Arabidopsis thaliana: one gene and its partner. The protein of the gene in region 1 interacts with the protein of each later gene in a biochemical or structural test. Each region holds a gene or a part of one and is shown in the gene's direction. Other genes may lie near its edges.

The links.
Region 2: the proteins of ACD11 (region 1) and BPA1 form a complex in vitro, tested with the Arabidopsis thaliana proteins (one study listed by BioGRID).

What each region holds. Positions count from the first base shown.
Region 1 is NC_003071.7:14,627,939-14,631,866, forward strand, and holds the start of ACD11 (Glycolipid transfer protein (GLTP) family protein), read left to right. Parts: upstream 1-2,047; 5' UTR 2,048-2,486; coding exon 2,487-2,678; intron 2,679-2,899; coding exon 2,900-3,072; intron 3,073-3,269; coding exon 3,270-3,418; intron 3,419-3,734; coding exon 3,735-3,841; 3' UTR 3,842-3,928. Other genes in the region: AIR9 (Outer arm dynein light chain 1 protein), read right to left, coding at 1-379, 709-871. UniProt on the Arabidopsis thaliana protein: Exhibits selective intermembrane transfer of ceramide-1-phosphate (C1P) and phytoceramide-1-phosphate. Does not transport ceramide (Cer) or GalCer, suggesting a requirement for phosphate in the headgroup for functionality.
Region 2 is NC_003076.8:5,533,599-5,537,526, forward strand, and holds the start of BPA1 (binding partner of acd11 1), read left to right. Parts: upstream 1-2,270; 5' UTR 2,271-2,443; coding exon 2,444-2,449; exon of another isoform or gene 2,450-3,156; coding exon 3,157-3,266; intron 3,267-3,425; coding exon 3,426-3,495; intron 3,496-3,718; coding exon 3,719-3,793; intron 3,794-3,906; coding exon 3,907-3,928. Other genes in the region: SYP21 (syntaxin of plants 21), read right to left, coding at 258-332, 561-697, 901-994, 1,346-1,554.

The sequences.
Region 1 (3,928 bases):
TTCCTCAATTCTGGAAGTGATCGTCTTACCGGATCAGTACGTGAGGCAGTAGTACTCACTTGCTTAGGCAGAACCTTAGAGGTACCAGCTAAATTCTCTGTTACTCCTCCAGTACTATTTCTCCTGATAGTCACAGGCGTAGTACCCGAGACCCGTAATGAAGAAGACGCAGTTGGCTTTATTAAATTCGAACTAATAACTGGTTTCTTTTTAGTAGAAGCAGCTCGATTTGACACCACAGACACTGCAGAAACACTCTCTGGGCTTCTGCTTTCATTAGCTATAGTTGCATTGTCCTCTTTCACTGCATCTACATTGGTTTCCACAGTTTCTTCCTCAACCTTAGCTGCTACTTCCTCCATAGTGAAATCAATCCAAACTTATGCAGATACAAAAGAAACTCAAATCAGAAGAGACGCATGATCAAATCATTAACAAAAAAAAGGAAACTTTATTCATTATACACAATCTCTCTACTTTATTTGTTGTATCCAAATTTCTCCGAAGTAAAAATACAGAATCAAATGACCAAGTGGCCCACGCACATTGTTTGGAATGGAACGCGCATGTAACAATTACTCTACTTTATTGGGTCCGGTCATAACAGGATTTACTAATAAAAAAAGTACGGACTTTAGTAGATTGTCTAAATTCAAGAACACAGACAAACAGAGTTTCTGGCTTCTTTCAGCTAACACTGTCGGTTACCTTCTACGATTTTTTGGTCCTTTTGTGAACAACCAATCCGCATTAAGCAGTGTTTATTTTTGAAAAAAATGTGAAATTCTTGTGAGTGAAACAAGCAGACGAAATTGCAGAAAGTGAGAGTTTTTAGCAATGAAGAAATTCGGGGAAAATAAAGTTTCTTCATTTAAGGAAATAAACCAATAGTAAGACAGGACAAGGAAAATAAATACTTACTGCACTGAACAATGAAGTAACCAGTAAAATCAAAAACCCATTTTCACCGTTTCACAATAACTCCGGTGGCGAGAATCCCGGCGACGATTCCGGCCGTTGAGAACTTGTTAAACAGAGCAATAGAGGCTGAAACAGAGAAATGTAGATCTGGATGAAGCAGAGAATAAAAAACGCAGCTCACTGATTGAAGCTTTTTTGAATGGAATCGAACAAAAGTGAAAACGACGATTAAAAATTGAGGGAAAATAGCTGGAGAGAGAGATGTTGGCGAAAGAAAAAGAAAAAAAAGTAAGGAACAGTGTAAACAGTGTGTAGCGGAAGAGTGTGTTGTGTAATATGTTTAACCCAAAATATACACCCCTATATTATACTTTAATTTATGTTTTTCACCCTCTTATTTTTTAAAGTTCCATGCAAGTACCTTACATTTAAAATTATCATGCGATGTCGGAAACTCAATTTTGTTTCTAAGTTTACCCGGTGAAAATGATAAAACGGTTATAAAAGTATGAGACAGTTGTGGATAATTATAGTAGTATAGGGACTATAATGAAAAGTAATTATCCAGAAGAAAAGAGAGGAACATTATAAAAAGAGAATAAATTAGAGAATTTGATGGTGAGAGAGAAAAGTTTGAAAATTTAGAGAATTTTAAATTGGCGGAAACCGTAAAGGCAGAGTTAAATGGCAAGTGGACGTTTTTCGAAAACTGATGAAATTGTTTTTATTTATTTAACCAACGATAAAATGATGTGCTCAAAAAGTCAAGAAAACAGATTCCTTTTTAAAAAAATTTAAATTTTTTGTGTTCTACTTATCCTAAATTATTACTCATAAAAATCTTCAATTAATTTTAAAATAAGCTCCACCTAAGAATCAATTAATGTCACTATCTTTTATAAGTAATCAAAATAATTGCATCCGCCATTCCTTCTACCCAATAATTATTAGTATAACCCACTAAATATTATTATCCCCTACCTATAATTTTGGTACCTTGTTTTAATCAATGAAAAGAATCGAAAAACAAAAATATGTATAGCCAGAGTGGAACATAAATGAAAGTTTGAAAAAAATCACATTTGTTGATGATGATAATCTTTTTAACTAAAGTATCCCAATGAAAGCTTCATATCTTAATTCTTGAACATTATTCATAATTCATCATCATCATCATCTTTTCTTCAAGTAGCTTCAACACAAGTCTATTGCCCAACTACTATCTATAGTTTAAGCATACGTATTTATGTTTCTTCGGTTCAATTGCACAAAACCGAATTTGGTTCGGATTCAATTCTATTATTTCGGTATTCCTACAGGTTATTTCGGTTGGATTCGGTTATTCATTCACACGGTGAGGATAATACTATCCAGATGAAGGATAGGAATGATCTGAACGCCAAACAAAGACAATTAGTGATCAGCGAATCGCCGCCTTTTTGAGTCGTCTTGCAGCAAAGTAGATTCCGCGGCAAATCACAGAACACCAATCGGAATAATCACACAAGAACAAAACTTGTTAATCAGGAGAAGACGACAGAGAGAGAGAAGGAGAGAGATCTTCCATGGCGGATTCGGAAGCAGATAAGCCACTGAGAAAAATCTCAGCCGCTTTCAAAAAACTAGCAATCATCGTGAATTCACCGAATCCGGAAGTTCCTGTAACGCAATTCTCTCACGCTTGCTCTCTGGTCTCGCCTCTCTTTGGTTGCCTTGGAATAGCTTTTAAGTTTGCGGAAATGGACTATGTTGCCAAGGTTTGTTTATGTAGTAGATTTGAATCAAAGTCCGAATCTTTTTCTAGTTGTGTTCACTTTCATGTACTATTGAGTATATTGTGAGATGTTGGAATTGATTTAGTTTCTGTAGTACTCAGACTGAATTTTGCTAATTTGATGGAAATGGATGTTGTGTTTGTTTATCTGGAGGATGAATGTTTTGGAAAATGAAATGTTAAAACTTGTGAATGTGACTATAGGTTGATGATCTTGTGAGGGCGTCGAGTTCGATATCGACATTAGTGGTAATGATGGACAAAGATATTGAGGCAGATTGTGTAAGGAAAGCTGGTAGTCATACGAGAAACCTTTTGAGGGTTAAGCGTGGTCTTGACATGGTCAAAGTTCTCTTTGAACAGATCATAGCTTCCGAGTAAGTGATTCTTCTGAACTCTCTCTTATTTGAGTTCTTGTGAAAATTTTGATCAAATGCATTAGCCGTGCCAGTTTGTAGGATGTGTGATTTAAATATGGACACTGAAGTAAATGAAAAAATGGAGTCCTGTTGTAGTTTTCTTTTATTTTTGGTCAAGATTAGAAGATTGAAATGTAGTTTGATATCTTTTGCAGAGGAGATAACTCCTTGAAGGATCCAGCAACTAAGTCTTATGCTCAAGTGTTTGCTCCCCACCATGGATGGGCTATACGGAAAGCTGTTTCTCTTGGGATGTATGCTCTTCCCACAAGGGCTCACCTACTTAATATGCTCAAAGAGGATGGTGAGTTCATCAACTAGTTAATATGCTCAAAGTGGATGGTGTGTTTGATAAACTAGTAGTTTAAGTAGTCAGATTAGTTTCAAGGTCTTCACAGGATTAGGTAGATATCACGGCAATATTTGGCCTGTATAAGTCCTGGTATCATAAGAGAGAACTCTTTGAGATTCACATTGGTTTTAAGTTCATTTGGCAGTAGGATATTAGATTTTGAATTTTCCAATACTATCTCTGTTTGAGATTTCATAAATCGAGTTTCTTCTTCATTATGTTCGCTGACGATATTGTTTTTTTCATTTATTTATGAATGTTGTTACAGAGGCGGCGGCTAAGATACATATGCAAAGCTATGTCAATTCATCGGCACCATTAATCACGTATCTTGATAATCTATTCCTCTCCAAGCAACTCGGTATTGATTGGTGAAGAGCCTGAAAAAAAGGCATAACTATTGTTACTCTTTAGACAAAATAACCTATGTTCTCACATCAAGCTATGTAATGTCATAACAAC
Region 2 (3,928 bases), on another chromosome or scaffold:
ATGAGAATATAAAAAGTTAGCGAATAGCAAGCATCTCCCTGCATCCAGGGACATAACCAACTTCGAAAAATTTATTAACCTATTCTAAGGCTTCTATTAACAATTCAGGCTACAGTGAGTGCCAAGTGTAACGATGGTTTGAATTTGAACTCTCGAGAGCAAAATGCATGCTAGACTAACATTTGGTTTATGCTTATAATTGATCAAATGAATTAGTAAAATAACATGCTAGCATATAATCAAATCACACTCCTCACCTTCTTGATTGTAGAAGAAGAGCTTGCTGCTGGGAGATCCTTAAAGATTCAGTATCCAGTTCAGGTGCATTATAACTGCATGGTGTGGCATGACAATGAAGCATGTGTAAGTGAAACTCACATTCCACAAAATATCAGAACAATCCTACGTTCAAAAATTCTTTTGTACAAAACAACAATAATAACATGCGAGTATATAATCCGGAGACTTTTTTTCTTCTCATTTAGGAAACAACGAGATTCATTTACCATGATCTTCTGTTTTTTAACAGGTATTGAAACATAACTGGTCAAAGTGGTTACCTGGTAGGTATTTCTTTTGTGACCACAGGAGTATATGTTATTTCTCTTTCAGCTGCAAGTCTCTGAGCTTTCTGAAACTCTTTGAGAACTGATTGGAAATCTTTTGCCAGTTTAGCATCAGCTATCTTCTTAATTTGCTGCAAGAATACAAACATAACATCAAAACTAGAATACACATATCATCAATCATGTAAACAATTCTCCCACTAAATGAATAAAATGGTACGATTCTGACAAAATTAAACCAAAATAAAACTGGTTCAATAGAAAATGTTCTCTTAGACACTAACATTCCATAGCATCGTAAGGGAATGAAACAAAAAAGTAAGCATTTGCTTACACTAGCTGATCCATGAAGGTCGGCTTCGCTAGCTTCCTTAAGTTTAGCTGAAGTATTCTTCACCAATTCGGATATCTGTAACCTTGTCTTTTGCCTGCCAACAAAAGAACCTAACACTTTAAAACAATTCACAGAACAAATAGATGAAACCAATCTAAAAAAAAAACAATTTCTCAATACACACACACACACACACACACACAAAAAGCTCATTATTTGCAATGTTGTCAGGCATTATTTGCAATGTTGTCTCACATCGATCAGCAAACTCAAATTTGTTCTTCGGTTAAGGGAAAATAATGCAGGATTAGCTTCAAAACAATTAGAAAACTTTTTCAATTAAAAATTGAAATGAAATCGACCAAAATCAATAAGTAAAACCAAAACCCTAATCAACAGAGATTTAACAAAGAGAAGAAGAGTGTGATTAAGAATTGCTACTGACAGCTTATCTCGTAATTCAAGAGTATCTTTAGGTGTTCCGATCGAATTAACGAGGCGGAAGAAGGAATTGACAGCCGTGCTGATCCTGAAAATCCCGGCGGCGACCTCCTGAGATGGATCCCCACGAGACGAAGGTCTCTGTTGTCTCCCACCGGTAAAACGATTCGGCGCCGGAGATCGAGTACCAGCTTCGAGATCTTGGAAACTCATCGTCTCTTCTCTCGAATCTCTCGAAATTCTCTTATCTCTATCTCAGGGGAACAAACGAAGACGAAGATGATGGAAATGAGTTAGGTGAATTATAAGTTTTCCCAAAATTTAATGTTAATTTTTGTTTTATAATTTGTATAAATCATTTAATCTCATGTGGTCCGCGTGAATATGGTGGTGGAGGGAATTTATTAATACGTATAAATTATTTGGCGGTGACACGCCATTGCGAGGGAAGAATCCTGCGTGTCGTTGTTGACCTCACCTGCCCTTCCGTGTAAAATTGAAACTCGGTTCGAGTAAACCGGACCAATTGAGTGGGTTTGCAGGATAAGGATTGGTTAAATGATTTTGGGCTACATTGGAGTTTAGTAAAAGGAAAAGAGAAGAGTTGGGCCAAAAACAAGGAGAAGTCCAACTTTTTTGTAATTACCAAGTTATCATATTTTATGACTGAATTAATAATTACAGTAATCACTTTGATACATAAACCACTTTTTATAGAAAAACAATGATATATTTTTGTTGATAAAAAGTAAAATTTTTATGTATTTTTTTCTAATAAAACATAAACTTAATAATTGTGTTACGAAACTCCTAACTTTTGTTTTGAACTGAAGAGGGAAAAAATAGAAATATATACTAAAAAAGTGAAAATATTAATTGTTGGAAACAATTAGGGACTAAAATAGGATTAAAGGGCGTAACGCAAACCCACACGTTGAGTGTGAGGTGTCATATAAAGCAAAATACACTCTTCCCTCTCTATCTATCTACGCATCATCGATCTCGAAGTACGTTTCGGTTTTCAGGCCAATCTCTGAATCTGCGTGACAAAAGCAACAAATTACATATCTCTCTCTCTGCGCGACTTCGAAGATCAACATCCATGGCGGTATGCTCTACTTTTTTTTTGTGTATAATTTTGTTTTATGCGGAAAAGGTTTAGGTTTCCTCTGCTGGTAGATATTGTTGCGATCCATTTGTTTATCGGGAAATTTTCTCAGGATTGATATTTTTGGCTATTGATTTGATTTCTTCTTCAATTTGGATGATCTGTTGTTTGATTGCTGCACTTGCCGACATAATATCTCCAATGCTATTTGGACGAGTTTGATGATTATTATTGTCGTTATTAATTGATTCTGTATCTCTGTGTGATCTGTATTCGTGCAATTATCTCTATTATCTCCTTGATTTCTCGGTTTTGGTTTTCGTTTATCGTAGTAAATCGCGATTGTGTTATTCTCAATTTGGAACCGAATCTCGCTAGCCAATTTACTTTTAGATTCCTCCATACATTGTCGATTAGTTTCCTTAATTGGTAGCCTTCATGGTTCATTCGAGTTTTCTTTTTGTATAGTGAGATGATGACAGTCATCTTCTAAGCCACTATAATATTATCCCTTTACTTGCATAATTGTATAATCTTGTGATAAATCTAGGCTTCTTTGAGTTTGAGCTGATTTGATTAAAATGGGACTTTCGGTCGATTAGATATGCTTGGATACAAAAAGTAGTTGTACTGTAAACATTCTCATGAAACACCTGTTTATTGTTTTCGTTAATGATTCTTTCCCTTTTGATTCTTTATGATGACAGTCACAGGTAAGGTCAGTAAAAGTTGGCAATCTCTCTTCAGGAGCAACTGAGCATGATATTAAAGAGTTTTTCTCTTTCTCTGGTGAAGTTGAAAGCATCGATATCCAAAGGTTAGTGATATTGTTTCCTTGTTCTTTGATTTCAAAATTTTGACATTTAAAGCTTTTTTTGATCAATTAACTTCCGAAGCTTTTTCTCAGCAAATTTAGATACAGTTCTCTTAAACTTACTGACTCTGAGCTTTGTTTTTGTTTTCTTTTTCTAACTAGCAGTAACGAGCATAGTGCTTATGTCACATTTAAAGAAACTCAAGGAGCAGAGACTGCTGTGCTCTTATCTGTGGGTTCACTCTTATCTCAATATTATTGTAGTAGCATTCAACTCTTACATAACACTGTTAATTTAGTAATCAATCCATGTCTATAAACCTTCGTTTAATATGGTTATACTTCTCTAGTCCAGACAAAGTATCTCTGAGTATTTATAAGTAAAATTAGTTTGCTTACAACTAATATTTGGGACCATTTGCAATTTGCATTACTAACAAGGGGTGTTATTTCAGGGAGCGAGTATTGCCGATCAATCAGTCATCATTGAGTTGGCTCCCAACTACAGTCCACCAGCAGCCCCTCATGCTGTAATGTCTTCTTCATACTGTTTTTCTTCTTTTTGATTAGTGAAAAGTATTCATCTCAACACTCAATAGAGCAGTAATTTCGTAGAGGTGTTAATTTGTGTTAATTTTCTCAGGAAACACAGAGCAGCGGTGCAG